Linked DNA regions of Canis lupus familiaris. The protein of the gene in region 2 interacts with the protein of the main gene of each other region in a biochemical or structural test. Links are inferred from orthologs where the notes say so. Each region holds a gene or a part of one and is shown on either strand. Other genes may lie near its edges.

What was found.
Region 1: the proteins of MAP4K1 (region 2) and NCK1 form a complex in vitro, tested with the Homo sapiens proteins (2 studies listed by BioGRID, with this or other methods). The link is inferred for Canis lupus familiaris from reciprocal best matches to the Homo sapiens genes MAP4K1 and NCK1.
Region 3: the proteins of MAP4K1 (region 2) and CRKL form a complex in vitro, tested with the Homo sapiens proteins (2 studies listed by BioGRID). The link is inferred for Canis lupus familiaris from reciprocal best matches to the Homo sapiens genes MAP4K1 and CRKL.
Region 4: the proteins of MAP4K1 (region 2) and CRK form a complex in vitro, tested with the Homo sapiens proteins (2 studies listed by BioGRID). The link is inferred for Canis lupus familiaris from reciprocal best matches to the Homo sapiens genes MAP4K1 and CRK.

The regions. Positions count from the first base shown.
Region 1 is NC_049244.1:33,869,557-33,877,113, reverse strand, and holds part of NCK1 (cytoplasmic protein NCK1), read right to left. Parts: intron 4,364-7,557; 5' UTR 4,346-4,363; coding exon 4,120-4,345; intron 1,986-4,119; exon of another isoform or gene 1,872-1,985; coding exon of another isoform or gene 1,838-1,871; intron 1-1,837. UniProt on the Homo sapiens protein: Adapter protein which associates with tyrosine-phosphorylated growth factor receptors, such as KDR and PDGFRB, or their cellular substrates. Maintains low levels of EIF2S1 phosphorylation by promoting its dephosphorylation by PP1.
Region 2 is NC_049222.1:115,284,771-115,292,204, forward strand, and holds part of MAP4K1 (mitogen-activated protein kinase kinase kinase kinase 1), read left to right. Parts: intron 1-78; coding exon 79-163; intron 164-1,176; coding exon 1,177-1,253; intron 1,254-1,333; coding exon 1,334-1,394; intron 1,395-2,154; coding exon 2,155-2,263; intron 2,264-2,349; coding exon 2,350-2,408; intron 2,409-2,619; coding exon 2,620-2,723; intron 2,724-3,258; coding exon 3,259-3,433; intron 3,434-3,667; coding exon 3,668-3,730; intron 3,731-4,530; coding exon 4,531-4,620; intron 4,621-4,707; coding exon 4,708-4,778; intron 4,779-5,674; coding exon 5,675-5,730; intron 5,731-7,434. UniProt on the Homo sapiens protein: Serine/threonine-protein kinase, which plays a role in the response to environmental stress. Appears to act upstream of the JUN N-terminal pathway.
Region 3 is NC_049247.1:30,745,337-30,753,406, forward strand, and holds the start of CRKL (crk-like protein), read right to left. Parts: upstream 4,499-8,070; 5' UTR 3,966-4,498; coding exon 3,655-3,965; intron 1-3,654. UniProt on the Homo sapiens protein: May mediate the transduction of intracellular signals.
Region 4 is NC_049230.1:45,568,121-45,576,276, forward strand, and holds the start of CRK (adapter molecule crk), read right to left. Parts: upstream 5,518-8,156; 5' UTR 5,411-5,517; coding exon 5,170-5,410; intron 1-5,169. UniProt on the Homo sapiens protein: Involved in cell branching and adhesion mediated by BCAR1-CRK-RAPGEF1 signaling and activation of RAP1.

The DNA.
Region 1 (7,557 bases), on a different chromosome or scaffold from region 2:
AAACTGATCAGTTGTTTTACCAGGACCATAAGATTTTTAGAGTTAGAAGGGACTTTCCAGATCATCTAGTCTTACCCAAATCTCCTTCACAAATAAAGAATAAGAGATCAGGAAAGTTTAGGTATATACTCTTGATCACATAGTTAAATAAATGGTATATCTAGGAGCAAAACTAGGGAATTCTAAATGCAAATATACAATGTTTTTTCCATTACAAGTCTTTATTTAAATTTTGATTTTTATGTTATTTCATCTATACAAAATAAGTTATTATTTTTGATTTTTCTGTTTTACCTAAAATACTGTACCCTCTTTGTTTATTTTAGCCACCACATAAGGAGCACATATAGTGTACCTTTACTTCAAAGCAAAATAAATACAAACTTGGGCTTCCTGCAGGTAATGAAAAAAGGAGTATTTTGGTTACAAATCTCATACCCTGACCCTCAGGTCTACAAATATATTGAAGATTACCAACTTTGCAAGACAATAGAAAGAATAATTTTATTATTCTATCGATGGTATATAATGAATCATCATATCAATGATATATTCTTTTTACACCATTTCTGGTTGATTTACAGTCAACATCACTTATGACCAAAATGAGATATGAAATTCATTTATTTAGTATTTTAATACTAAATAACAACCCTCATCTACCTCCTCACCATATAAGTTCTATGAAAGTACTAGTTTTTCACCCTATGATTTTTATCTGGCTTGCAGTAGGCTCTCAAGAAAAATATGTTGATAAACAAATGAATAAATAAATTTCCAAAAGGAAAACTACCCCAAAAAGTGGATCTAAAAATGCATTAACTTTCCTAAAAGTAAACACAAGAGATATATTCCAGAAGAATTTCACTTGGTCATCAAAATTAACTAAAGAAACAAATGAGTCTTAATATTACAATTATGACATTCTTTCTCAACAAATTACTTACTCCTTTACAATTCTGCTTGAAAATGAAATCTCTCAAAAAAAAAAAAAAAAAAAAAAGAAAATGAAATCTCTCAACAGGTTACTCTTTGTTTCCTTAAATTCCTTATGCATGAGACTTCTACAACAACTCCTCTGTTCATTTTTCTAGAAACACTAAACAAATGTTCAAAAAGATCAAATCAAGTTCACTATCATAAGATCATAAAAAGGCCAAGAGCAAATATACACATTGGGTTCTGGTAAATTAGTATCAGTATTACATTATGACCTGAACTCAAAACAATCCCAGTAATTCACTACTTCCTTTCACTGTTTTCATTTTCTTTGTATGTAGTTGCTCTCAAGACTCATTTCAAAATATCAAATCTCACATTTACCAAAAGAGCAATTTCTACCAATCCTACGTTGATTAAATCAAAACATTCTCTTTCCTGCTTTATTAAATGTTATTTCTACATTATTCCTCTAAAATCTAAGTAAAAACTACTAAAACAATATTATGTTAATTCAAAACTGAAGATGAAGGAACTTGTTCATCTAATCCTTTCTTTTCCTCATATTTTTAATGTTTATAATTTAATTCACTTCAAATGTCTATGCTAAGTTCAGAGTTACCAAATTAAAACTAACTGCGAACTCATTTATATCTTTTTCTTTATTATTTAAACACTGATACTAAAACATTTCAAAACTATATTACTTATCAGGTCAAAACTAGTATTACCTGAACTATCACCAATCATTTAGCTTATGTTTCATAAACAATATAAAGCACCAGCCTATTATATAAACACACCAGGTTCCATACAGTTTTCTTTAAATTCACAAAACCGAAAAATCTACTTTAAAAACTACAAGAAAACTATGGATTTAATAAACAGATGAACTTACTGAAAAAGTCTTTAAAGACGTTTAACCAATCCATTTTGAACAAAAATCCCGTATTCTCTTGTCAGTTAACACAGCTCAGAATAATTCTCAGTGAGCTTCCTGGTCTGTTCTGCAACACTGAAACTCCCCACACCCAATCCATGTGACTTGGCCTACACCCAGGCAATAGAAAGTTTTTCTGGGAGAATTTTTCTGAGGCTTCTCTCTTTCTAAAACATTTTCCCCCCTGAAATCTAACAGAATCTGTAAAACAAGTATATCATCATGGCCACGAATGTTACCTTATTATTCAGACGTATTTTGGAAAAAGCTTTAAAGTATACATTTTCAATGAATATATATTCATACATTCACTCTCTCCTTTGTTTCCCCTTTTCTATCTTTCAAACATTGTCTCCACCAGCACAATCACTGTGAAACAAATCCATTTAGCCACATGGGACATTTAAGTTACCAAAAGGAGTTCAGAAATTCTGAGAAAGAGGCAGCTTTCTGATACAAAAGCTAGAATTACATCATTATACAGAACTAACAATCATTAACTTAAAACAGAATGTTTTCAAGTATCCTGCAATACAAGCAGCAATAACTGTAATACAGTAGTAAAGTTAGCAGAGATACTCTATGACTTAGATATAAAATCTTGCCAAAACTGTCTCAATTATATCAGAAAATAGTATGAAAGGTTTCCCAGGAATATCAACAAATAATAAAAATTCTCTCTAGTTGGGCTTTTTAAAGTTTATATTCAGTAGTATCTAAAACTGGGATATATTTCCATTTTGCTCTATGATATTAGGTTTTTCACCATCTTCTGTTTAAACATTTGCCCAGGATACCAGTATCCTTTTAAAAAGGAATAAAAAGTCTATCTAGGTGTAACCCTAATCCTTTCTGTGCCTGCATTCCTATGAGGCATACTTTCTTGATAGAAGTTACCTTAATTTTCCCCAGTACCTCTGATGTACATGCTTTAAGTAAGTGTCCAATATTTACAAAATCACAAGTATTCCTGGTTCTAACTATGGTCTCTTCTGCTAGAGGAAAATCTGATTTGTCCTTCACTTAAAAACTAGTATTAAAAACTAATAATACTGGTCTTATTTGCAACACCTTAAAATCTTAATAAAAGGTATCCTCAGATATAGCAGTTAGATGTCATGATGAAAATTCAGATTAATAACTCCTTTAGAATATTAGAATTGTTATTTGCTCACAAAACAATATCCCAATATTTTATATTTACTTTGAGTTGTATTATATTTTAGTTTTGGCTATTTTACAGTGTCAAAAATAAAAGATTTGTCTTCTGTTGCTGATAACGGAGAGAGCACTCTAGATAACAAGGTCAAATAAAAAATAAAGCTAATATAAAGCAGTTAGTCAATAATATTTCATATTTGTCAATCATGCCATATTACTCATTGCCAAACTATCTTTGCAAGCAGAAATTTTACTTTCTCGTCTACATATATACAAAGAACCATTAAGTAAGAGCATGTTTGCCTGAATACCAAAAATGAAATTCTGTCCCTCCCATTCCTTCCTGTCAGCTAAGGAGAGTTTAATTAAAAGAAAAAAGAAAGAGGCCAGTCCTCATCTGTGCATATTTCCTTCCTATCAGCTCAGCCAAGCCCGGTGTGAAGCAAGTTCCATTATCTCTGGCCCTAATGGAGAGCTAGTAAAAACAAACTTTACAGTTAAAGGAAGAAAAAGGGATGGGGGAGGGGGGAGAAAAATAAGAAAGAAATCGGCTTTGTAGATGCTAATCTACAGTAATGATCGATCCACAATTTGAAACTCTTTTATCAAATACAAGAACAAAATGATGGTTTATTTTTAAAAGCAAAATTCAAAATGTAGGCTGTTAAATGTAAAATATAGCAATGTGTCATAAGTTGCCTTAATGCCTCCTTGGCAATTCTGAATCTCCCTCATTTATTTGCCTCAATGAGATGCAGAATTTGCGCCTCAACTCCTATAGGCATTCACACAGTTCAACAGGTCCTGGCTAAAGGATCAGACTCAGTCCTGCTCATCAGCACCACTATAGTTTGGCCCTTGAACAGCAGCTAGATTTATAGAAAATGCTCACTAACACTTACGCTCTTCTGACTTGAAAATGTGCTATGTGCCAAATGTACCTAGCCTAGCTGAAATTCTAGTCTTGGCCTTCTCTACTCAATTCTGCCCAATGCTGCCAAAATTCTATACAAAGAACCAAGCTCTAACATCCACTTTAAATAAAGTATTGTTGGTGTTTTAACACAAAAATAACTTACCTAAGGTATCCTTTAGGTTTTTTACAATAGATGCTTTCCGAGCACTGTTTTTCCTCTCCACATAGTTAGAAGGCACAAAACCTGTTTTATTCATGGAGTTTCGAACTCGCCACCAGGATTTAGAGTCATCTAGAAGCCATAATCTCTCATTCTTCTTGATGTCCAGCTCTTGTTCTTGTTGGGCCACATAATCAAATTTGGCTACTACTACCACTTCTTCTGCCATCTTTCAGCAGCTTCAGCACTGTAATAACATATACAATATTTTTACAAGGTTTAATAGTAGTCTACATACTTTTCAAAAAAGATACGTGTAAAAACCTAAGAGAACTAAAAGGTTGAAAGAAAAAATATGAAAAAACAAAAACAAAAAAACAGGCAATACTAAAACTAATCAAATACTAATTAAGACAAACATGGTGTAGCTATATTAATAACACACAAAAAGGACAAACCATTAAGGCAAACCATTATCAGTAATAAAGAATTTCACTACACAATAGAAGGCTTTATTAAATATACATAACAGCCAAACCTCTGTCTATTAACATAGTTCCAAAATGGACTGACAGAACCACAAAAAAAAAATTTTTTTGGACAAATCCATTGTCACAGTGGACAATTTTTAACATACTTATCTCAGTAATAAATCAAGGAGACAAAAAAATTATTAAAGCTCAATAAGAACTGACATCAAAACCATTAAGTCTGATCTAATAAACATATACAAATATTACTTCCAAAAGAATATAAATGAAACATATGTGAAAATTATCAAACATTAAGCAATAGAGAAAAAGTCTCAATAACTTTCATGTACTTGGTATCCTACAACCATATTCTGCCAATCATTACAAAAAGCTTTTTAAAAACTTCATGTATCAAAGAAGAAATTATAATAGAATTGTGAAAATATGTAGAGGAGTCAAATAATAAAAAGACTATATATAACCAAACTTGTGGGATACAGCAAAAGGAGTATAAGAGATTCTAGTTGTAAATAGTTACAGCAGAAAAATAAGAAAACCTTAAAGTAAGTTATAATGAACTGAGTGTGTCTTAAACAGGTAGAAAAGTAGAATATAAAGCAGAAAAAATGAAATAATACAAATAAGAGTAGAGTTTCATTAAACAGAAAGAAATGATACAGAAGAAAGGCTCAACAGAACAAAAAGGTAGTTCTTTATTATGACTAACAAAATGGACATAGTTCTGGCAACAAAGGAAAAAGCACACCCAAATATCAGGAATGAAAAGGGAGTCATGATTAGAATTCTGCACACATTCAAAATACCTGGCAATATTACAAACAACTTTATCAATAAATATGAGCTGAAATGTACAAATTCATAGAAAAATAAAAATTAAAAAAGTACTAACATTTAATCAGTCATTTAAGAAATCTTCCCATAATGAACATTAGGATATGGTTTTACAGGAAAGTTCTATTAAAATCCAAAAAACAAGTAATTCCAATTTATACAAACTTTCAGAACAAAGAAAGGAAAACTACAAATCTAACTCATTCCTGTATTTATTAGATGAGATCCCTGCTTTCTTCAGAAATTATTTTACATAAACAGTTACCTCTGGCTTACCAAGCAAATAAATTCAGCTTTTAGTTTTGGATATTGAATAGCATTCTCTTTTCTCAACAACAAAGCAAGGTGTTCAATATCCTCAAAGAAATGCATTTTAAGTTTTTTTTTTTTTTTTTTTTTAATGTTAAAAAGAGAGCACAAGCAAGAGGAGGGGCAGAGGGAGAATCAGATTCCCCACTGAGCAAGGAGCAAGGAGCCAGATTCAGGACTCGATCCCAGGACCCTGGGATCATGACCTGAGCTAAAGGCAAAAGATTAACTGACTGAGCTGAAGGCATCCCAAGAAATGCATTTTAATCTTGAATTCAACATCCAATAGCATTCAAGTGTAGATAACGTTTGCGTTTAAAACGCAGATGCCTTTGGGGGGGGTGGGGCACTACAAGGCCTCAAAACCTACTGCACATTCTTCTGAAAGAATGACTCTAATATGTACAGCAGTGAATAATTAATAATGCTAAAATAGGAGAATGATGTGGTATTCAAAAAACAATGAACAGAGAAACCAGAAAAATCAGTTTGTATCCTTGTAACCTTTCTGTTTAAAATTACTTGCAAATAAAAAGTTGTAACCAAGTCTAATTAATTACTAGCACATGATGCAAAAAATTTTCAACAATGAGTGATAGGCCTTCTGAGGCAATAGAAGGCAGAGAGGGTTTTTTTTTCAAGCATATTTGCAGACTGATTCTAATTCCTTCCCTGTGGGAACCTGCACAAATTAAATAAAATCTACAAATTAAATAAAATTTAATCCTGGGCCCCAATGGAATTAATTTTGAAACTTGACAAACTGACTTTAAAATTTATCTAGAAGAATAATCATGTAAAACCAACAAATGACATTCTATAGAAAATTAGAGTTGACATGACATTAGGTTGTGTACCTAGAACTTTCTAGTTTCCTAACAATATGCCAATTATCCTTCTAGTTACCACCTTACTATTATTGCACTAGCCATGTGATTACTGGGGATTGACTCTAGTTTCTAAACTGTATTTGAGTTAGTCAAAGCTGCTCCTTCCCATCAAAAGGATAGTAAGGGAATGCTACAAACAAATCTACACACATAAATTTGACAACTTAGAGGAAATGGACCAATTCTTCAAAAAATACAAATTACCGAAACACACTCAATATGAAATAATTTGAATAGCCCTAATCTATTCAGGAAATTAAATTCATAACTTAAAAACTCTACCCCCAAAAAATTTAAATTTAATTTAAATTTAATTAATTAAATTTATTGTTTAAAGAATTATTATTATTATTATTTTATTATTTAAATAATTTACACCAATTCTACATAATCCTTTCTAGAAAATAGTAGAGGGGAAATATTTCCCAATTTATCTTCAAAACTGATATTACCTGACGTCCCAACTAGACAATAGTATAAAAACAGGAAACTACCAAACAATATCCCTCATTAATATAGATGCAAAAATTTTTAACAAAATATTAGCAAATAGAATTCAGCAGTATATGATAAGAATTAATACTCCATGACCAAGTAGGATTTTTCTAGGGACGCAAAGTTGGTTCAACATTCAAAAATTTATCAGTATAATTCAGCACATTAACAAGCTAAGAAAAATCATACGAGTTTATTACTCAATGCAGAAAAAGCATCTGACAAAATTCAACACCCATGATAAAGTTGTCAGAAAAACAGAAATAAAAGGGAACTTCCTCAACCTGATAAATAGGACCTACAAAAACCCTATAGCTAACAACATACTTAATGGTGAAAGACAGATGCCTTCCTCCTACAATCCTGAACAAGGCAGATATCCGCTCTCACTATCCTTACTCAACAAAGCGCTACAAGTTTTA
Region 2 (7,434 bases):
CAGAGTCTTGACCCTGCACCTTCCCATCCCCTCCTTCCTTTCCTTGGATCTGCTGCTCTGCCCCCGGGGCCTGCCCAGGGATGTGCCCTGCTCGTGAAGTTGTTCAATGGCTGCCCGCTCCGGATCCACAGCACGGCTGCCTGGACGCACCCCTCCACCAAGGGTGGGTATTCAGAGGGTCTCCGAGAGCAACAGGGTGGGTGGGCAGGGCCTTAGTGGAGGCACAGAGGCAGAAACAGGGGAGGGTCTTCATAAGAGGGGGATGGGCAGAGCTGAGGCAGGACCTGAGCCCAGGGTTGGGGTTTGGGGATCACATACAGGTAGGATGGAGATGAATTTGAGGGTGGAAACTAGGAAAATAAGAGTCTAGGAGCCATGGGTGTCAGATATAACAGAAAGGTCAGAGTTTGAGATCTAAGGTGGGGGTAGTTGCAACCCTCTAACCTCAGTTAGAGGTTAATGGTAGAGAGGCTGGGGTCAGCATTTGGGGTCAGGAGTTTGGGGGTGGGAATGCAGAAAGGGAAGAGTTCGAGGGTGAAAGATGTGGAGACAAGGTCAGTGAGGGGTAAATGTTAAAGAAATGGCATCAGGGGCGCCTGGCTGGCTCAGTCGGTGGAGCATGCAACCCTTGATCTCAGGGTTATAAATTCGAGCCCCATTGTTGGGTGTAGAGACTACTTGAAAATAAAATCTTAAAAAAATTACTAAAATTTATTTAAAAAAAAAACAGCATTAGAATGTACAGGGGATGCATTGGACAGAAAAAAAAACACATTTCAAAGGGCCCAAGTTTGAGGATCCCTGTTGAGACAAGATTAGCATTTGGAGGCCAGAACTGGGAAGACAGATGGACAGAACAGAACATAGAGGGCTATTTAGGGAAGCAGGACTGATGTTTGGGTCAAAGGTCGTGGGGTGGGGGCGTCAGGATTTGTAGGATTTGTGGGTGCAAGCCCAAGAAGTAGGTGAGAATGAGACCAGCTCAGGGAACTGGGTCAGGGTTTGAGTTCACATTTGGGGAAACAGGAGCTGGGGATGTCAGGTGTGGGAGTAAGAGAGAATTGAGGGTCAGGGATGGGGAACAGACTACCAGTGTTTGGGGTCAGTCATGTGGGGGTCTGGGAGGCCTCCTCCAAGATGACATAGGTCCTAGTGTCCTTGTGTCTGTCTCCACAGACCAGCACCTGCTCCTGGGGGCAGAGGAAGGCATTTTCATCTTGAACCGGAATGATCAAGAGGCCACGCTGGAGATGGTGAGGCCAGAGCCTGGGGGGGGGGCTGGCATTGGGGGTTCCCAGGGTCTTATGGGAGCCATCTCCTCCATTCTCTGCAGCTCTTCCCTAGCCGGACCACCTGGGTGTATTCCATCAACAATGTCCTCATGTCTCTCTCAGGTCTGGCTGTGGATTGGGTGGGAGGAGTGGGGTCAGAAGCTAAAGGGTTGAGAGTCCGGGGGTTGGGAGATACATGGGCACAGCTGGGGGAGAAAAAGTAGGCTCCCCCTTTACAGAGCCCACAGTTAAAATCTCAGTCCTCTTTTTGAGGTGGGACTCTATCTGTGTTTCCCTATCTGTAAATGTGGTTCACAATAGTCCCACCTCAAGTCAGTTTTGAGGTAAGATCCACAGTAAGTCTTGACATTTCCTCGATGTATAGATGCCAATGAGAACTTATTCCACACGTTACTGAAATGGGGTTATAAATTAAAATTTTGTGTTTCTGTTTTAGAAACATTTGGTGTAAAAGAACTTCTAATGTATAGGAGAAACACCAAGCAAATGGGCTTCTTGAGTTAGTTATCATGTCTGTGACGACAAATCTTAGGAGAATTTCTAGATAGGTTTCTCCTTAAACTTAATAACGTGCATAACTTCATCTGACTGGTTAAATGTCCATAGGTTCTCACGTGGCTGAGCAAGCACGGGAAGATAGGGAACACCTTTATCTTACTCATTAGTCACCAGAGCCAAGCACAGTGCCTGTCCTACAGCGGGCATTTAAAATACGCTGAGCGAGAAATGAACAAATAAAAGTGCTGAGACTTGAAGCCTTGGGAGTTTCAAAGGGATGGGGCCAAGTGAAGGGCCAGGGAAAGGTGGGAGTGTCTGGTGTCCTATAACTGCCTGCTTCCCCCTACACACACACACACTGCAGGAAAGACCCCCCACCTGTATTCTCATAGCATCCTGGGCCTGCTGGAACGGAAGGAGACCAGAGCAGGAAGCCCCATCGCTCACATTAGCCCCCACCGGCTACTGGCAAGGTACCAGCCCCCAGGGGCACCGCAGACCCCTGTAATTCCCCCTTCCTGCCGTCCCTCTGCATTTATGCACCTACTTTCTTCTGCAGGAAGAACATGGTCTCCACCAAGATCCAGGACACCAAAGGGTGCCGAGCTTGCTGCGTGGGTGAGAGAGAATCCCTACTGGGTGGACCTGAAGCGGGGGAGGGTGTGCTGGTCCGGGGGCAGGCTCGGGCTGCAGTGACTGGAGAGGATGGTGGGGTGAAGGCAGGCTGTCCAGAGTCTGGGGAAAGATGTGTGCCCTTTGGGGGGGGTGAGGAGCGGGTCAGGGAAGGGGAGAGAGGACTGACCCTAACCCATCCCTCCCCACCCCACAGCGGAGGGTGCGAGCTCGGGGGGCCCGTTCCTGTGCGGGGCATTGGAGACGTCCGTGGTCCTGCTTCAGTGGTACCAGCCCATGAACAAGTTCCTGCTGGTCCGGGTAGGGGGTCTGTAGAGGCTGGGGATTCTGAGGTTCAGTGGCCAGGGGCTTGCACTCCTTACTACGCTTCTGCTGAGAGCTTCGGGAAGCCCGGCTTCCACCCAGGCCCCGCCCACCTGCGGCAGGTGCCCGGAGGCTCCCCCTCCTGAGGGCCTCTGGAGCCTTAAACTCCTCCTGTCACCCAGCCTAATTATTTTGCGGGCCCTACGTCCCACCCCCATCCCACCCCCGGGTCTCCAAGGAGACCCCACTCAGACCCTTTGAGTCTAAGGAGACTTTGTTGCCTTTAAAGGGGGCACGACCCCAACAGAAGCCAAGCCAACTCTCATTGCTAAGGAGGCGTCACCGCACTCCTCTGGGCTCTCACCCCCTGAAGTTTCTAGACCGCATCCCTCCAAACCGAGGGCCCGGGGGAAATACTCGCGAAGACCCCCGCGGGCTCTCCGCGTTCAAGCCCCGCCCCTCGGGCCCGCCCACCCAGGCCCCTCCCCTCGGGCCCGCCCCCTGAGCCCGCCCCTCTCCGTGCGGCCTGCAGCAGGTGCTGTTCCCGCTGCCGACGCCCCTTCCGGTGTTCGCGCTGCTGACCGGGCCAGGCTCCGAGCTGCCCGCCGTCTGCATCGGCGTGAGCCCCGGGCAGCCGGCGAAGTCCGTGCTCTTCCACACCGTGCGCTTCGGCGCGCTCTCCTGCTGGCTGGGCGAGATGAGCACAGGTGAGGGGGCGGGGCTGGCGGCGGGGCGGGCTCTAGCCCGCGGTGGATTGCGAAAGGGGTTGAACCCGGGGCGGGGGCAGAGGTGGAATTCATACACCTGCTGAGGTTGTCCGCGCGTCGGGCCGCGGTGATAGGCGGCTTTGGCCCGCGGGCTGGGGAGTGGAGAGGGCGCCTAGCGGGGGAAGGCAGGATCGGCGGGACTGGCTTTCGAACCTCCCTCCTCTTGTCAAATAGAGCACAGGGGACCGGTACAGGTGACCCAGGTGGAGGAAGACAAGGTGATGGTGTTGATGGACGGTAAGGACCTCCCCTTTCCTCCACTGTTCTTGGATATCTGCCTCGCAGACCCTGTGCTGCTCAGGAATGCTGAACCCCTCCAGGCCTTGCCCGGGTCCTGCTTTGCTTCTCAATGAATTTATTCTCCATCCTCTGACCCTCACTCTTTTTTTTTCCTTTTAAGATTTTATTTATTTATTCATGATAGACATAGGGGGAGAAAGAGGCAGAGACACAGGCAGAGGGAGAAGCAGGCTTCATGCAGGGAGCCTGATGTGGGACTTGATCCCAGGACTCCAGGATCGCGCCCTGGGCCAAAGGCAGGCGCTAAACCGCTGAGCCACCCAGGGATCCCCTCTGACCCTCACTCTTAAAGCCCTCTCTCGGGGCGCCCGAGGGGCTCAGTCGTTAAGTGTCTGCCTTCGGCTCAGGTCATGATCCTGGGGTTCTGGGATCAAGCCCCACATCAGGCTCCCTGCTCAACGGGGAGTCTACTTCTCTCTCTCCCTCCCTGCCGCTCTGCCTGCATGTATGCTCTATTTCTCTCAAATAAATAAATAAAATCTTTTTAAAAAACAACAAAAGTTGGGCAGCCCGGGTAGCTCAGTGGTTTAGTGCCACCTTCGGCCCAGGGCATGATCCTGGGGACCCGGGATCAAGTCCCACATCGGGCTCCCTGCATAGAGCCTGCTCCTCCCTCTGCCTGTGTCTCTGCCCCTCTCTCTCTTTCTGCGTGCGTCAAAAATAAATAAAAAATCTTTAAAAAATATTAAAAAAATTAAAAACAACAAAACTCTCTCTCTCTCTTTCTCCTCTTCTAGGATCTTTGAAGCTGGTGACCCCAGAGGGAGCCCCAGTCCCAGGGCTTCGAACTCCGGAGATCCCCATGACTGAAGCAGTGGAAGCCGTGGGTATGTGCAGGGCTGGGAGGCCCCCCCGCCTGCCCAGAGGGGAGGCTTAGTGATACCCAAGGGTAATGGGCACTGCTTTCCTCCCAGCTATGGTCGGGGGTCGGCTCCAGGCCTTTTGGAAGCACGGAGTACAGGTGTGGGCTCCAGGCTCAGACCAGGTAAGCTTCTCCATCTGACCACCTCCAACCCTGCCCCTCCCCTGTGGTTCTTCTGGTTCCGCAGATGGAGCAGAAGTATTGAGTCAGGGTGTGGAGCCCTAACAAGAAGCTTCCTTTAGTCTCAGTTCAGACAGGTCCTCTTCTTTTTAATTTTTTTTTGTATTTTTTAAAGATTTTATTTATTTGAGAGAGAGTGCATGATCCAGGGGGAGGGGTAGAGAGAGAGAGGGAGACGCAGACTCCCTGCGGAGCAGGGAGCCCTACATGGGGCTCAATCCCAGGACCCCAGGGTTATGACCTGACCAAAGGAAGACATTTAACCCACTGAGCCAACCATGCATCCTTGGCCAGGTCCTTGTCTATACCCCAGGGTCTCTTGGGTCCAGAGGTCATTACAGGCCACTGTGTGATCTTGTGCAAGAGATTTTGCTTCTCTCTGAGCCTCAGTCTCCAACTATCAAAGGGGGCCGGTCACTAAAGAGCTACGTGGGTGGTTAAGAGCATGCACAGACTGCCTGGGTTGGAATCCGGCTGATTGACCTTAAGCAAATGACTTAACTTTCCCATGCCTTACTTTCCTCATCTGGAAAATGGAGTGAAAAATGCTCCTTAGCTCATAGAACACTATGTTTCAGACAGATGCTGCCCCTATATGTTTGTATTTTATTTAATCTCCACAATCACCTATCAGGAAGGTCCTGTGATTTCACAGGTTAGTAATCCGAGGCACAGAGAAGTAACTTGCTTGGGGTCACACAGCTGGTGAATGGTGTTAGCAAGAATGATTATTTCTGGACCTAGGACTAGAAGTTCAGAGACCCCCCCTCTACACCCCATTCTCTTTAAGGGAGAGGGGAAGAGTCTTCTAGATACTGACACACACACCTTTTCCCCAGCTGTTGCAGGAGCTGAGAGACCCTACCCTCACCTTCCGTCTGCTTGGCTCCCCCAGGTATGGACTTGGGGAAAGGAACACAGAGCCTGGGAGGGGGGCTTCTGATGTGGAGAGGTGTCTTGCGATGTCTCCAGCCACCTGTATCTTTGGCCTGGACATTCTCTCTCCTGGTCTCCCTGCTTCTATCTCTGCCCCTTATAGTCTATTCTCCACAGTGCAGCCCAGGGGGCATTTTTGTTTCTTAATTTTTATTTTCACTTTTTATTTTGGCATAACTTTTGACTCACAGAGAAGGTGCAAAAATAAATGTAAAAATTCTTAAATCTTTGTATCCCCTTCATTCATCCAGATTCCCCAGATATTAACATTTTGACTGTTTTGGGGGTATTTTGTGTGTTTTGTTTTTGCCATGTTTGATTTGTCTTCCTCTTTCATATGTATATGATTTTTTTCTGACCATTTGGGTGTGAAACAAAGACCTACTCCTGCAGACCACAACACAGCTGTCAAAATTAAGAAAATGGCACTAAGACTTCTCACTGCCTTCTAATCCACATGCCCAAGTCTCACCAGTTGGCCCAATGATACTCTTTATAACCAAATAACAGTACTTTTTTGGGGGGTCCAGGAGTCAATCCAGGATGATGGGATGCATGTAGGAGTCAGGTTTCTTTCATCTTTAGCCTGGAACAATTTTTCAGGCTTTCTTTGGTTTTCAGGACCTTGATACTTTTGAGGAGTACAGGAAAGTTGTTTTCCAGAATATTCCTCAGTTGGGTTTGAGGTTTGAGGTTAAGCATTCGGGGTAGGAATACTCCCAGAAGTGATGGCTTGTCTTTCTCATGCGTCCTATTAACACATGTCTGTTTGTCCCATTATGGGTGATGTTCTCTTTGAGCATTGGGTAGGGTGCAGGTTTTACAGCAGAAAAACCTGCTGTAAAGCTACTCTTTGTATTAATAAGTATCTTTTGGGGTGATTTGTTGTGAATGTGTAAATATACTCTTTCTCATCAGACTTTCACCCACTGGTTTTAGCATCTATTAATGATTTCTGCCTGAATATATTATGAGGAGAGTTACTAAATGGTGAATTTCTATTTCTGCACTTATTAGTTGGCATGCTCCTGTGGAGGAGCTTGTCCCTTCTCCGCCGTGTGTGTGTGTGTGTGTGTGTGTGTGTGTGTAATTTCAGCACAGCCTCATGGATTTCCATTTTATTCTGGGGGTTAAAATCTATTCCTACCATTCTTTACTTTGAGATGCAAGAACTCCCACATTTAACCAGTGAGAACCCCTTCAGGGATCTCTCATGACCTCTTGACATGCCAGAGAGGTCTTTTAAAATCTCAGTCCCATTATGTCACTCACCCTCCCAACCCCCATTTAAAACTACTGTGGCCTCAAGATAAATACCCAGTCCTGGCCACAGTGCACAAGACTTTGACTTCTGCAACCAAGTCCCAAACTCTCTCCCATCTCAAGGCCTTTCCCTAGGCTGTTCTTTGCCCAGAACACCCTTCTCTGACCTTTCACCAAGTTCCCTCCTGAGCCTCTTGGAGGCTCCACCGTCTATTCTTTGGGCCACCTCGGCTGACCCTTCAGGATAGGTTTCCACGCAGTACGCCCCGTGCTGTTTTGCACTCCTGTAATTCACTAATTCATGTTGGTCTCCCATTCTAGATTGAGCTCCTCAAGGGCAGAGACCCTGTCTGCTCATTACCGTGATAGCCCAGCACTGTGCTGGCACAGCCTCTGTTAA
Region 3 (8,070 bases), on a different chromosome or scaffold from region 2:
TACCACACCCCCAACTCAGTGGCTATCTTTCTCATCTCAGGACTTTCTGTAAGCTCTTCCTCCACTCTTAGCCCAAGCCTTCCCAAGGCTTGCCTCTTCTCTACCCTTAGGTAGCTTTGTGCTCTCTGATCACACTACGTCAGGTAGGTCCCTCCTATTATATTCTCTGCTCAGCTTCATTTCCTTCATAGTATTTATTAATCTTGTAAGTATTTTTTACTTATTTTCCTACTTTTCAGTTTTGTCTCTTCCAGTAAAATAGAGACAATCTGACATTCATTGCTCTCAGTCCCTATCACTGGGATATAACTCTTGTAAATATTTAAATAAAAATATAAAATTAAAAAAAATATATATATAAAATTAGGGGTGCCTGGGTGGCTCAGTCGGTTAAATGTCTGCTCTCGGCTTGGGTCATGATCCCAGGGTGTTGGGATCCAGCCTCACATAGGGCTCCTCGCTCAGTGGGGAGGTCTGCCGCTCTCCCTCTCCATCTCCCTCTCCATCTGCCTCTCCCCCAGCTCATGCTCTCTCTTGCTCTCAAATAAATAAATAAAACCTTATAAAAATATATAAAACTAAATGTTATTCCAATAACAGACTAGATTCCAATAACATTCCAAGATCAGACTAGAAAACAAGCATCAATCCTTAAATTCCGAGGAAGTCATACAGTCATAATTTTTCACTAAGCAAAATTTTAAAATGAACTTTTACCTAAGGGGTATGAAACTCTGGCCTTAAGAGCTCAGTTTTGCTGCCTAGAAAACTAAACCACTTGATTTATCTTGTCTGGGGTGTGAAGAAGCATTAAACTGACTTGCATTTGGCCAAGGCTTTACATGGCACCTCTAGTTTTCTACAAAGGCTGAAATATCAAACCCATCTTCAGATTTCAGGCTTGAGGAAGACAATTCAAAGATTAAGTAAATCCAGTCTGCATCTAATTCTACCAGAATTGTGATCGCCCTCTGAGATACCAGCAGAAAATAAAAAACTAAATTACAGCAACATGCCTGGGGCAGACAGTGAAGAGGAGAAACAATTACAGCTGCGTGTAAGTGGGAGGGTCAGGGAAAGGCCCCATTATTTGAGGGGTCTGGAACAGCAGCTAAGATTTCAATAGGTGAGGAGTGGGGTAGGGTTAGGCAGTCAACTGAAGAGCCAGCAGCCCACCTGGCAGCTGGAGCAAAGGTACAAAGGTGTGAGAAGGTACGCAGGAATGGCTACCAGGAATTAAGTGAGTTGCCTAGCGGGACTGCACTAAGGGAAGAACAAGGTGGGGAATAACAGAAAGTTATGTCTGGTATCTGGGAAGACACATGTGTGAAAAATGTGGAGTTGTTTTTGTTGGGTCACGGGAACCCCTGCAGCATATTCCTTTTTCTCTCTCTAGTCTGCAGCATTATTCCTTTCTCTCTCTCTCTAGTCCCTAGAAGGGGATCAAACCATTTACTCACACCTTCTGAAACAGCTGTATTATAGTACCTGTTACCTCAAAGCAAGCACAATGCCTTGCACATATAGCATGGCTTAGTGCATGAAACTAATGATATAATTCACCTCCATGAGTTGGAGAAGTAATCACTTGAACATATTAAAAATCTCATTTTAGTTGGTTCTAATACTCTCTCCAACCTCTTATATCAGAATATACCATGCTCCACGTCAACTCCAATTACCAGCATCTTTGGGGACCTGGAGATTTCACCAATCAGATTCTTGGTGCTTAGGCCTTTGTTATAACACTATTTGATTTATAATCACTTTCTCCCAGTTTTTAAAGTCCATTTAGTTCAGCAGTTAATCTTATAGTCATTATACTGTCATGGCTTTGTTTCTTCTCTCTTACTCCACAGAAGCAACACTTAGGCATCCAGTGGGTGCTCCTTAATTATTATAGCTTTTAATGGTTAAAGCTCAGTGCAACATCTTATCAGCAAATCTATAAAATCAGAAACAGGTCATTCCAAAAAAAAAAAAAAAATCTATATCGGCAGCCTATTCCTTTTTTAAAAAAAAATTTTTTTTTTAAATTTTTATTTATTTATGATAGTCACACAGAGAGAAAGAGAGAGAGGCAGAGACACAGGCAGAGGGAGAAGCAGGCTCCACGCACCAGGAGCCCGATGTGGGATTCGATCCCGGGTCTCCAGGATCGCGCCCTGGGCCAAAGGCAGGCGCCAAACCGCTGCGCCACCCAGGGATCCCGGCAGCCTATTCCTTTTAAACATAAGTTCAAGAACCAAAATGGACAGCAAAATACTTTTTATTTAAAAAAAAATTCCAAGCAATTTCTTCAGTTCAAATTTGACATAATTTAAATAAAAGAAACGTGAAAAAATACTAAAGACAAATTAAAGCAAGTAATCAAATAAAATAATGCATTTACTTAGAAAAGAGAATGCTGCTTGCTTTAAATTATTAAACTTACAAATGTACAAAAGGTATACCTAAAATTAAACTAGGACAGAATTAAAGTATCGCTCAAAAATTTCCTTAGTAATTTACATCCTAGCTTCATTCTTCTTTAGAATATAATCAAATACATTTCTGGCCTATTAATGGTCCACCCTGGGGATAAACTATAAAATAAAAACTCAAAAAATGCGTCCTCGGGGATCCCTGGGTGGCGCAGCGGTTTGGCACCTGCCTTTGGCCCAGGGCGTGATCCTGGAGACCCGGGATCGAATCCCACGTCGGGCTCCCGCTGCATGGAGCCTGCTTCTACCTCTGCCTATGTCTCTGCCTCTCTCTCTCTCTGTGACTATCATAAATAAATAAAAATTAAAAAAAAAAAATGCGTCCTCGCTAAAGCCAATGCATCATCTTCTTAAAATTTCTGTTAGTTGGGATGCCTGAGTGGCTCAGCGCTTGAGCGCCTGCCTTTGGCTGAGGGTGTGATCCCGGGTTCCCGGGTTTGAGTCCCACATTAGGCTCCTTGCATGGAGCCTGCTTCTCCCTCTGCCTGTGTCTCTGCCTCTCTCTTTCTGTGTCTCTCATGAATAAGTAAATAAAATCTTTAATAAAATAAAATAAAATGTGTTAGTTATAAAACAAAAGGTGTCTAGGTAATTCAAATTTAGCACCAAGGTATCCTACATAGTTCCGCCACTTCACTGTGAAAGGTTTTGTTCCTAAACGCTCAAGCATTTTCATTTGTCGATTATTCCAAAGGCTGCAGTCCAAGAGTTCTTAAACTGGAGCAGGGAGCCCAAGAACCTTGAACGGTGTGCAAAGTTGTGTGTACGTGCATTTTTACGGAGGGAGAACGCCACAGCTGCCCTGAGATTCTCAAAAAAAAAAACAAAACAAAACAAAAAAGGCTTAAAAACAACAAAAACGTCTCGATTAGGATAACCCAATAGATAATGTGACGAACGGCACAAAGCGGGCATTTTAACCAGGCAACCGCCGTTACACAGGTTTAAAACCCATCCCCTCATCCAACAACCCAGACCCTGGCACTAGCCTTCCGATCAGAATGCCTTCTGGAAAACAATTTGGTTCAGAATGGGGTGAAAGGAGTTCAATCCCGCTCCCCCCACCCCCTACCCGGCGGTCGATCCCCCGCGAACCAGCCCCTGCTGTTCTCGACCCTCCGCCGCGGTCCGAGGGGGGCTGTGCGCGCGGGGAGTGCGGGCGCTCGCGTACCTGGGCGCGGGCTCGATTAGGGTGGTGGTGTCCAGGTAGTGGATCTTGTAGAACTCCAGCAGGGCCGGCAAGTGGTCAAACTCCTGGTCCCCGATCTTAAAACGGCGGTTGGGCAGCGAGTTGATGATGTAGTGGGAGACCCGCGAGTTCTCGGACACCGACAGCACATAATCCCCAGGGCAGGTGGAGGAATCGCGAACTAGGAACATTCCGTGGCGCTGGCCCTGCAGCCGGGTCTGCGCCTCCTGGCGAGACACCGGCCCCATGTACCAGGCGGAGCGGTCTGAGGAGTCGAACCTGGCGGAGGACATGGTGTCTGGCCGGGGCTCTGCGGCGACTCGGGGCGGCGGCTGCTCTCGGCTGTTCTGGACGCCTTCGCCCGACAGACGGCTCTGCGGCCAAGGAAGGGCCTCTTGGCACACCTCGAGGCGCGCTTAGAGGGCCGAGCCAGCACCTTCGTCTCGGCTCCGGGCCCGCAGCATCCTCTGCCGCCGCCCGCCTGCTCCGGGGCCGCCTCACGGACGGAGCCGGCCCGGGGAATGCAGGGCACAGCCCGAGGTCGGGGCGGGCGAAGCTGAGCCGCAGCGGAGGCCGCCCCGGGGTTCTGGGGCTGCCCGGCGTACCGGGGGTGCCTCCAGCCACTCCTGGCCCGGAACGCGCGACTCCGCGCCCCCCACGGCTCTGCACTGATACCCGCCGCCACGCGAAGCACCGGACTCCCAGGAGCGTCGCGCCTCCGGGGCGGTTTCGCCCAGCCCGTTCCCAAGAGCCACAGCAACAAAATGGCGGACGCGGGACAAGCGGCCGGCCACCTCCCCCTCCGCTCAGCGCGCTCGGTCTGCGCACGCGCGAGCTCTGGCTCTCAGCTGCCGCCCAGGCCCGCCCCGTGACGTCGCGCGGCGCGGCCAATCAGGAGCGCGGTCGTGACGGTCGGGGCGTGCGCCGCGCTCCGCCGCTCCCGCGTTCCGGGAGGAGGCGGAGGCGGCCGGGGAAGCGGGGGAGGCGAGGAGGTAGAGGCGGCGGAGGAGGAGGTGGCGGTAACGGCCACTCCCTTCCTGGGCTGCGGTGCGCCGCCGGGGGCGCTGCCGCTGCGGGCTCCCCCCCAGCTCCGGCTGGAAAACAGCTGGAGTCGAGAGGGAGCGGCGTTTCGAAAACCTGCTCCGCGAACAAAGCAGAACGTGCATGCAGAACCTCTGGCCGTGGAGGCGTGGCACTGAGGTGACCTGGCTGGCCCAGGGGCCCCGGGGGACCCGCGCTGAGGGAGACCCGCGGGCGGACACGCCTCGGTGGGTCGAGGTGGCTCTGGAAGGACGCGACCGCGGGGGCTGACGTGACCAAAGCCGAGGTGGCCTGATAGGCTCAGGGACCCAGAGTGGCCGGGAAACTCGACAGCCGCAAAAAGGGGTTGCGAAGGTCGGAGCGACAGGATTGAGTGGCCCGAGGAAGTCCACCTTTTGGTGCAATCTGGCCATCATTAGCGTTTAACTGATGAAATGCGGACTCCCCCGGGTGTGGCCCGAAGATCTCGTCCGGCTCCAGTTCTGCAGCTTCTCGAGCTAATCTCCTCGCATGCCCGCCCCCTGGCTGACCTGCTTCGGCCGGTCGTGGTGGCCTGTTTCTCCACCCTGCCTCCCCTCCCCGCGATGAAATTTTAAGAGATCAGGGATCTTGTCTGTCTTGCTCGCTTCTGGGCCTAGCACAAGGTCTGGACCTGACCTGATGCTCAAATATTTGTTGAATGAATTGACTTTTGAAAAAAAAAAAAAAATCCTCAGGCTATTGGTGCCCGATTATTGGTAGCACCACCCCTAGAACTGGACAAACGAGAAAGCCTGTAAAGAAAGGGAGACGCCGGCTATAACAAACCTATACAGATCCCTTTGTCAGTGGAGTTTCATTTCGGCGCTTGCAGCCCTCAGGTTGAACATACACCTAATTCTAGGGTGATGGGTGATATCCAGCTTAGGGTAAGCTAAAGGGGAAATGTCAAGGGTTAGTGCCTTTTGTGACTCAGCATAAGCAGGTTTTCAATCCCCTCCACCCCAATATTGTCATGTATTATTCTCAGGTTGAAACTGACTGGACTCAAATTCTGCTCCCAGTTGACTAGCTAGGGTGACCTTGGGCCATGGCTCATATATTAAACAAGCTAATAGTGCCTGACACGTATTAAACCTCATGTAAGAGATTTTTATTATTACTATTCAGCCTCTACTTGGGCTCCCACCTCCATAGCCTAAAAGTGTGCAGATCTCTCAATGGATCAGTGAGGGTCGGGAGAACTACCTTTTTATTACCAGATTTTACCATTTTATCATCAGCCACTCCTTGCCCAGCCTTCATCTGCCTTCTGCTCTTACTTTGACCTCTGGAGATCATCACTGATTTCCATTGACCCTATCGTTTTCCCTGATCTCCCTGGCTCTATGTGTCTATATAGAAAATCTCTGGAAAGAACCTTTTATTTTTATTTTTTTAAGATTTTATTTACTTATCTGAGAGAGAGAATATGTGCACAAGCAGGGGGGATAGGCAGAGGAAGAGGAAGAAGCAGACACCCCGCTGAGCTGGAAGCTCCATGTGGGGTCCATCCCAGGTCTCTGGCACAGATACTTAATGGACTGAACCACCCAGGTGACTCAAGAATCCTTTTTTTATTTTTTATTTTTTCAAGCTTCTGGGTCGCTAACAATTTCTTCTACCTCTTCAAATACGCTTTCTTGGTCTTTTTTGATAGCACTTTTATCTCCAGCCTCTATATGTAGAAGCTCAGCCCTTAATCTCTCTATAGCTTCTCCTTTGGTAGGCTAATCATGAAGGCTTCAGGAGTCACCCACCTATCTGTTAGTGACTCTGAAACACTTATATTCTAGGAGTAGAACAAAATCTGACCACACCCTATGATTTCTATGCAAACACTGTGGTCACAGCCTAAATTCTTATTACATTCCATTGTGATTGCTTATAAGTTTCTTTCCCTTCCTACTCAGAGCTCCTTGGAGGGCTGCCTACTTTACTATTATCTTCTGTATTTCCAGTGCCTAACACAGTGCCCAGCACATAATATATGCTTAATAAATAGTGTTTGAATGTAGGTGGATAAGGATGAGAAGAAACCAGAGAAAAGCGAAGGTTGATTGGAGATCCTGTCACTATTTCCTGTTAATTAACATAATATATGTATTTAAAATAGATATTTGGCCCTAAGTCTACCCCCATGTTCAAGACAAGCTTCCATTTGGATTAAATTGTGCCTTTCAGCTTCCCCTTTTCTGTCAATTGCGTCAGTGTTTTTCTAATTTGCAAACTCAAATCTGAGTCATCTTTTACTTAACTGAAGAACTCAATAATACCTAATTTATATAGTGCTTTCCAATTCACAAAAGTTCACATAATACATTGTTTTACTTATCCCAACCAAAGTCCCATGAAGTCCTTTTTTATAAATGATCCAGAAGCTCAGAGAGGTTAAGTGACTTGCTGACATAAAGTATTAAAAATTATGTTATTTGCAGGAGGCAGAGTGGCACTCAAGCCAGGTCTTCTGACTCGAAGTCCAAGAGTCACCTTAAGGTGTACCTGGGTGACCCAGTCAGTTAGGTGTCTGCCTTTGACTCAGGTCATGATCTCAGGGTCCTGGGAGCAAGTCCTCGAGTAGGCTGAGCAGGGGCGCCTACTTCTGCTGCTCCCCCTTGTTTGTGCTCTCTCTCTCTTTCTGTGTCAAATAAATAAATAAAATCTTTTTTAAAAGTCTCACTTTATTGTCACACAACTGACTATAATGTCATTTTCTTTGTTTTGCTGATGAGGAAACTGAGGTCTTCTAAAGTAAATTTTAGTAGCAGGAAAGAGTATCAATCTCAGAATACAGAAGAGTGGTTGGATTTGACCCCAGTTTGGATTTCAGACTCCACTATCATCCTACTGCCAAAGTACCATTATCCTTTCTTGAAAAATTTCAACATTACAGATGGATCAAAATGGGGAATGGAATGTGTGGATAAAGGTGGAAAAAAGAATGCCCCTGTGTTGATAACTGTTAAACCTAGGTGACATGATGTATGTTTAAGTCAGGGTGGGGAGTGTTAATTATAGCATTCTACTTTTGTATGTTTGGAATTTTTCACAATAAATTTGTGAAAGTGCTTTTCTTTACTCTTCCTTGGCACAGCTGAGACAAGCTTTAAAAAAAAATTCCAAAGACTGTTTCTAGATGCTAAGATAGAACAAAATGGAAATGGAGAAACAACAAGGAAGCATTTAAGGGGGGGGGGGGAGATTGTAACATAAAGATCTGTAATTTTGCCTGAGCTTGCTCATTCCAGATGGCATTGCACTTATATTTTTCTTCTAAGAAAATTATATCCTAGACTCAAAGGACTGACCAGGCTTTTTAAGCACCTTGGGCAGATTCCT
Region 4 (8,156 bases), on a different chromosome or scaffold from region 2:
AGTTAGATATTCTTTTTGGTTTCTGTACATGCTCATTACTTCTAAGCATTTTAACCCACAGGTTACATCAATCTTTAACAACACCATTCCCTGAAGTTTTATGAAGAATACCTAAAAGCTCTGTGGGCTAAAACAGGCCAGGTCACTTCTGGTATGGGTACTACCACAGCAGCTCCATCATCAGCTTCTTATATCAAAGCATTTCCATTTCCCCCCTTCCTCTTTCCGTAACTCCCACTCCTTTCCTTCTCTTCTGCCTATGATATTTATAAAAACTGCTTAAACACACCCCACCACCTGTCCAATACAAAGGGCTAAAAATGCTGCTGACTTTCATCTGAGGTTTCCCAAGAGGTATCAAATATCTGGTCTCCTAAGCAAATAGAACTTTCTAAAAATGGTGGGTATCAACATGGTACTTTGCAGATTCAGAATGATTGGGTTTGATGAATTCTGGTTCTGCCATTTACTAGCTGTATGAGCTGTTACTTAACTTCTCATGGTGCCAAACACCAATGTAATAAAATTCCTAAAAGTTGCTGGAACATTACAGGTGCTTAATCAAAAGCAAATTCAGCTTAATATCCTGCCTAAACCTCTCAATTCCTTTAGAAATGTTTGATTAATGCCAAACCCAAAGTCCTCTGTACTGTTTCCCAGAGAAGATTTTACAGTATCTCAAGATGCTTCTTGGTCAAATGCCTGCCTCTCTTGGGAGGGTCATACTTTCACAAGAGCATAGTAAAGGCTGGGAAGTCCTGCAATAAATAAATCTACTTTCTTTTATCATGAAATCCTTTTTCTGTTGTAAACCTTTAATTAACTCACTGAAGAACTTCTCCAGAACCACTGGATGGAGGGATACTTTCTGTAATTGAGGAATAAAACACAAGGACCGGGTTGAGAACTGCAAAGATGAGGTACACAAATGAAACACAGACGGTGGAGGTACAAAAAGGCAACAACGGGTAATGAACAGTCCCACTAGATCTCTAGAGAGTGGTTTGGTCCAGCACCACCTTGCAGAGGCAACACAAACAATAACCACTCTAATTTCTGCCCCTCACCCACTAGAACAATAGGTAGAAGGCTCTGAGTTAGGCAGGTAACAACAAGTGCCATCATATTTCTATGTCTTGGATCCAAGGTCCTTTCATACTTCTTGATGCACTCCAAACCCCTCCACCCCAGCACTTACTCTCTTACACATGCTATCTTATCAGTGCTCACCAACCCACACCATGCCTGCCTATGAGCCTCTGAATGCTGAGAACAGTTTTCCATTTTTCTTCAACTCCTGCTCTCCCAATCTCATAGTTATGTATGTACATAAGACTAATACAGCTAATACTAAGTATTTACTACATGCTAGCCCCATTCCTAAGCATTTAATACACTAAAATTCATTTAATCCTCAATACAAACCTATGAGGTCAATATTATTATTTCCTCTCTTTTACAAATGAGGAAATTGAGGCAGAGGCAATTTAAAGAACATGCCCAAAGTTATATAAGTGGTTAAGTCGTAAGGAAGATTCAAACCCGAGCTCCAGGGCTCAAACTTATAACTACTCTCCCAGCTCACACTTGTTCAGTTTTGTTGATTGTCTACTGGCCAAGGTCTAGCAATACCTCATTGTTTGAAGAAATGTATGAAGCAATGATTGCAAAGCCTTCCCAAGAGGTCTACCTTGGAAGTCCAACCTGACAGAGTATGACCAGTAGACTTGCCCAAGCTCTGCCTCATAGCCCTGAAGCACAACCAGGGTGCTCCCAGACTATGGCAGCCTGCAGAAGCTACACATCTAATTTAAAAAGATTTACCAGGGATCCCTGGGTGGCGCAGTGGTTTGGCGCCTGCCTTTGGCCCGGGGCGCGATCTTGGAGACGTGGGATCGAATCCCACGTCGGGCTCCCAGCATGGAGCCTGCTTCTCCCTCTGCCTGTGTCTCTGCCTCTCTGTCTCTCTCTGTGTGACTATCATGAATAAATAAATAAAATCTTAAAAAATAATAATAATAAAATAAAAAGATTCACCAGAAAAGGTTAAAAATATCCGATCCATCCTACCCCATGCCTCTAAAAACTGTATCTGAGCCATTCCATATTAATTCTACCCATGTATTATGTCCACAAAATATGCTATATAATCCTAAGCAAAAAGTTCATTTTTCATCTTCAATTTGCCAAATAAGGATTTAAAAGCCTCATCATTGACTTTTATTTATTTATTTATTTATTTATTTATTAAATTTTATTTATTCATGAGAGACAGAGAGAGGCAGAGACATAGGCAGAGGGAGGAGAAGCAGGCTCCATGCAAGGAGCCTGATGTGGGGACTCAATCCCAGGACTCTGGGATCGTCACGCCCTGAGCCAAAGGCAGAGGCTCAACCACTGAGCCACTCAGGCGTCCCTCATCATTGACTTTTAGATAAAAGACATGTATTGTCCAAATACTAAAGCTAGTTTCTTCTGGTCATCCTTTCCTTTTGGTCTTTAAACAGAACATAGGACCCTGTGACAGAAACAAATCTTCTATGAGCACTGTTCAGATCTCAAAAGGAAAGAGAAAGAAGTACAGAATAGTGTCAGCTCTCTAGTCAGAATTCCGAAGTTGAAAATCTGGCTCAGTCATTTATCAGCTGTGTGACCTTGGGCAAGTTCCTGAATCTCTCTGTTTCCTCACCTATAAAATGAAAATATTTTAGTAAATAGAGATTACAGTATTTCTCACCAGATTGTTATAGACAGAAAATGAGACAAGGCACAGAAAGTACTCAGCAAAGTACTTGGCACAGAATAACCAGTCAATAAATGTTAGCTATTAATACTCTACACGCTTTTCTAAAATTAAAGAAATTCCTCTGTATAGTTTCAAAAAGAAAAGAGCTTGACGGGGAAGCAAGGAGAACAAAGACTAAGTAACCTTTATAAAGACAGCAACTCAATCAATTGCTCTATGTGAAAAACTGGGCACATTACCAGAAACAAGAATTAACACAATGCCTGTGAACTTTCCACACCCCATCCACAAACTCTGGCAATCTTCACCTTCTCTCTTGAGCCAAGGATTTGAACTCCTATCTGTTATGAAAAGGTGGAGCTCAATATCAAGGTAAGCGCAGAGATATAAAGTCATAACACAAAGGTGTGTAGAAAGCTCAAACCAGCAAACCTGCCTGTTGTCATCTCCAAATTTTGCAAAACGCATACATAAAAGGTTGAAAACTGGGGGTGCAGGAGGTTGAAAATTGAATTTCAGTGACAGTTTGACATATTACTGCACTGTAATGCACAACCCTAGATACCAAGAAGGTGGTGAAAAAGCACAACATAGGGATCCCTGGGTGGCGCAGCGGTTTGGCGCCTGCCTTTGGCCCAGGGCGCGATCCTGGAGACCCGGGATCGAATCCCACATCGGGCTCCCGGTGCATGGAGCCTGCTTCTCCCTCTGCCTATGTCTCTGCCTCTCTCTCTCTCTCTCTCTGTGACTATCATAAATAAATAAAAATTAAAAAAAAAAAAAAAAAAAAAGGAAAAGCACAACATATCGGGTTTAGGGCAAATTTATGTTCTATCAATATTCCTGTCTCATGTTATGCTATTAAACCAAACAGACTGGGACGTGCCTGGGTGGCTTAGCGGTTGAGTGACTGCCTTCACCTCAGGGCATGATCCTGGGTCTGGGGATTGAGTCCTGCATCGGGCTCCCAGCGAGAAGTCTGCTTCTCCCTCTGCCTGTGTCTTTCATAGATAGATAGATAGATAGATAGACAGATGATAGATAGATAAATAAAATCTTAAAATAAAAATTAAACCAAGCAGACTGAGAAGACCTAGGATACTTCCTGGATTTAAAGATCTCATACTCTTCCTATAATTGATACGTGTTAGCAACAGAGACTGACTATCCCATCTCCCTATTTCTGGCCAGAGTGAATGAATCTAAATTAGGACTATCCCTAAAGGGCAAGTTTGCAAAGGCTGGCTCAGGAGGCTCCTAATTCTTATGAGACTGGCCTGGAGCTAGCCTCAGCTGGTCAGAAGAAAACTGCTTCAATTTGAAAAATGAGAAAGACTACAACTCTTGGTGCTGTTACACAGATGATGGTAATCTGACAATAACCTCAGAATTACTCTGTATTTCACAAATCTCAAGTACTAAGTGCATGAACCTCCTTAACATTCTCCAAACAGCTCTAAAGGCGTAAGTAGGACAGTCACATCTCAGTGATCCTTGGTTAAGAAAGAAAAGGGCCACAGCCCCAACTTACTGAGCAAGAGGCCCTGACATATGACATTGACAATGCTTAAGTCCAATGAAATTGGAAGTTCCATTCACTTCCAAGGAAGGGACTGTTTCCACTGGCTTATTTCCTGGGAGGGGTGTGGGGGCATAGAATCTGTCCTCCACAAAATACCCTGAAAACTAGAACCCTCTAATTGTGGAAAAGAGTCTCTGGACGCCAAGATCTCTTGGACACGGTCAGCTGGACATCAACTTGTTCTGGGCTGATCACAGAGGGCTTACTTCTGTCACCAAGGCACTTAGCTCACCACCTTCGTCCTCCGCGGGGGAAGAGGACAGTAAAAGTATTTTGGAAAGATGCCCAAGAAAGGAAAAAGCTGACCGGTTTCCTGAGGGTGTCTCCATCCCTCCGGGCTAGTATGTGGTGACTTCCTATCAAAGGCCAGCAGGGGAGAATAGCTCTCCAAACCAAACCCGGCTCTCTAACAGTACAGGAAATGTTTCAAGCCTAAAAAGCCACTTGTAGGATTATCGAATTCATCCTGGGAACCGCTGCCAAGTGATGCCCCCGCAGTGCCAATATCCCCCTCCGCTCTTTGTCCCCACGTTGCCCGCCCTGCCCTAGTGCCTGGCCCCGGCGCTAGCCCCACCCTGGGGCCGAAGCAGTTCCCCTTCCCCTGGGCTGTCCTCCCAAGTCACACCCAGAGGCCTGGGTCAGCGGCTCCTCCTCCACACACACACAACCGCCAGTGGTGGGAACGAGCCCGGGCACCAAGGTACCCCCATGCCAGGGTCGCTCCAGCCCTCTGCCCACGTCCCTCGTGGAGGCTAGCTCGCGAGGGGCAGCCGGTCAGGCTGGCGAGTTCCGCGGCCCTCACCCCGCCCGGGGCCTCCCGTCCCGTCCCGTCCGTCCTCACCGGGCGGAGGCTGGGCGGGCGACGGTGGCACAGACGGGCGCGGGCCGCTGCTGTTGATGATGTAGTGGGAGACGCGCGAGTTCTCCGAGACGCTGAGCACATAGTCCCCGGGGCTGGTGCTCGAGTCCCGCACCAGAAACACCCCGTGCCGCTGGCCCTGCAACAGCGCCACCGCCTCCTGCCGGCTCAACCGCCCCCAGTACCAGCTACTCCGCTCCTCCGAGTCGAAGTTGCCCGCCATGGCCGCCTCCGCGCCTACACGCTGGGCCGCCGCCGGCACGCGCGCCCCTCCTGCCCCGGCGCCCGCCGCCCAGCGGACCGGCTCGGGTCTCAGCTTCACAGCAGTGCCCGAAATGGCGGCGGCGGCCGCGGGCCTTCCCCACCGGAAATGACGCGCACCTTGCCCCCGCGAGGATGCCGGGAAGGGGACCGCAACCCGCCATGGGGAGAAGGGCAAAGGACAGCTCGGGTGCGCACTGCGCATGCGCCGCCGTGTGCGTCGCCGCCTGGCGGGGATCGGGACTGCAGGGGATGGAGGGGCCAAGTCCAGGGCCGGTGGTAGGGGCTCAGCGAGGAGTCGGCGGAGGTTTGTGTTTGCGGTTTTGGCCACGCGGCTCCAGGGTTCGAGTTCCTGGAAGGCCCGGGAATTCTAGGCAGCAACTCCGAGACACAGTTGGACTACAAAAGATGTATGTGGCCTCAGGGCCTGAGCTCCTGGAGACTTTGGTCCTTTTCTGGTGGTTCCTCCATCTTCTCTCTAGACTGGCTTAAGTATTTTGTTTGCACTGATTGACTCAGCAGTTACTGACACCACATTTGCTCTGTGGGTGCAAAGGTGATCAAGGTTTGGGCCCTGACCTCACAGAATTCACAGACCAGTGGGAGGAAGCAGGAACAATGACAAAGGAATTCCAAGCACTGTGAGAGGGAACCAACCAGGAGCTCCAGCCCAGTCTGTAAAGGGATTCAGTCCTCCACCTACCAGAGGAGGTGGCTTGAGCTGAATGTTGAATGGCCAGTAGGGGAAGAGCATGCAAGACAGAGAGAGCAGAATGTGCCAAGCCAGGAGTTCTCTGGATTGAGTCTTTCAAGTCATTTGCCCAGATTCTTCTAAACACTAGTCGTGGCCAGGGGTATCCTCTATTCTCCTTACTATCATGATCTCTGTCTCTGTATTCCATATCTGTATCTGTATTCCTGTGAACAGCCTGTTCACTGGTGCCCTATAGACTTGCTGCTCTAAGTACATTGCACACATCTGACAGTGTGTGCTTTCTAAATTACAACTCTAAGACTGTTCCTACCCTGTGCACAACTTTTAACAGTCTCCAGAACTGGGACGCCTGAGTGGCTCAGTGGTTGAGCATCTGCCTCTGGCTCAGGGGGTGATTCTGGGATGTGGGATCGCATCCCACATCAGGCTCCTTGCAGGGAGCCTCCTTCTCCCTCTGCCTACATCTCTGCCTCTCTCTGTGTCTCTCATGAATAAATAAATAAATAAAATCTTAAAAAAACAAACAAACAACAGTCTCCAGAACTTAAAATTCCCAGTTTAGGTCACAGCATAAAATGAGGTCACAGTGTCCTCTTAACAGCTCCTACATGAACCTTGTGTTTCTTTTTTCTGGAATACCCTTTCACTCCTTTCTGGATCTGAATCTCAAATGTCTTCTCTTTTTTTTCTTTTTTTTTTAAGATTTATTTATTTATTTATTCATGAGAGACACACAGACAGAGGCAGAGACACAGGCAGAGGGAGAAGCAGGCTCCATGCAGGGAGCCTGATGTGGGACTCGATCCCGGGACTCCAGGATCACGCCCTGGGCTCAAGGCAGGTGCTAAACCTCTGAACCACCCAGGGATCCCCCTGTCTTCCCTTTTTTAACCAACTATTACTTCCTCTCTGCATCCATAGCCCTGTGTCCATATTATTTCCATTACAGTTCCTACCCATTGTACTGTAATCCTTCATTCACAGGTCTGTCTGTGTCCTACACTAGAACTCCTCAAAGGCCACACATCTAGTGTAGGAGGCACTACATAAATGTTACAACAGCTACCATTTATTCAGGGAATACTGCCTGCCAGGCATAGCGCTAACTGCCTTTAGTATGGATCATCTCATTTAATCCTCTTAACAGCCTCATGGGTGGTATTTTACAACTATCCCCATTTTACAGGTGAAGCTCAGAGAGGTTAAGTTATTTGTCCAGAGACACACAGCTGCTGTGTAGGGAGCTGGTATTCAAATCCTAGAAGGAGCAGAGAGCTGTGGTCACGGTGCTGTATCCTCAGCAATGCCAATGCTGGAATAGGCATTGATGAGGACAGGAGGTTGGAGGAGGATGGCAGAAATAGACATTAAAGAAAAAAAATATATCAGCCCTGGATTTTGATCTTACATGAAAAACACACCTCTTCCGGATCTACTGCACACACCCCTGGGCCTGCTCTGGGAAGGGAAGGGGAGTGAAGGCACCTTCCCTGCTGTGACTCATTGTGACCCTGGCTTAGTCACAGCCTGTTACCACAAGCCAGTAGCAGAAGCCATCCCAGTGTGAATTCTGGCTCTTTGGGAAAGAGAGGTGTCTGTTCTTCACTTCTCCAGAATGGCGGAGGTTTGAGGCGGGGCCTTACCCAGAGACTGCTTGTGGGTTCTGATTACAGAAAATGGACTTGAAAAGAATAAGGGCAAAATAAAGAGGAAGAAAGGAAGGAGAGAAGGGAAGGAGGGAGGAAGGGAAGAAATAGATCATAACCAAGATGGAGGGGCTCCCTGGGTGGCTCAGCGGTTTAACGCCTGCCTTTGGCCCAGGGCGTGATCCTGGAGTCCCGGGATCGAGTCCCGGGATCAAGTCCTACGTCGGGGTCCCGGCATGGAGCCTGCTTTTCCCTCCTCCTGTGTCTCTGCCTCTTTCTCTCTCTTTCTGTGTCTATCATAAATAAATAAATAAATAAATAAACAAACAAACAAATAAATCTTAAAA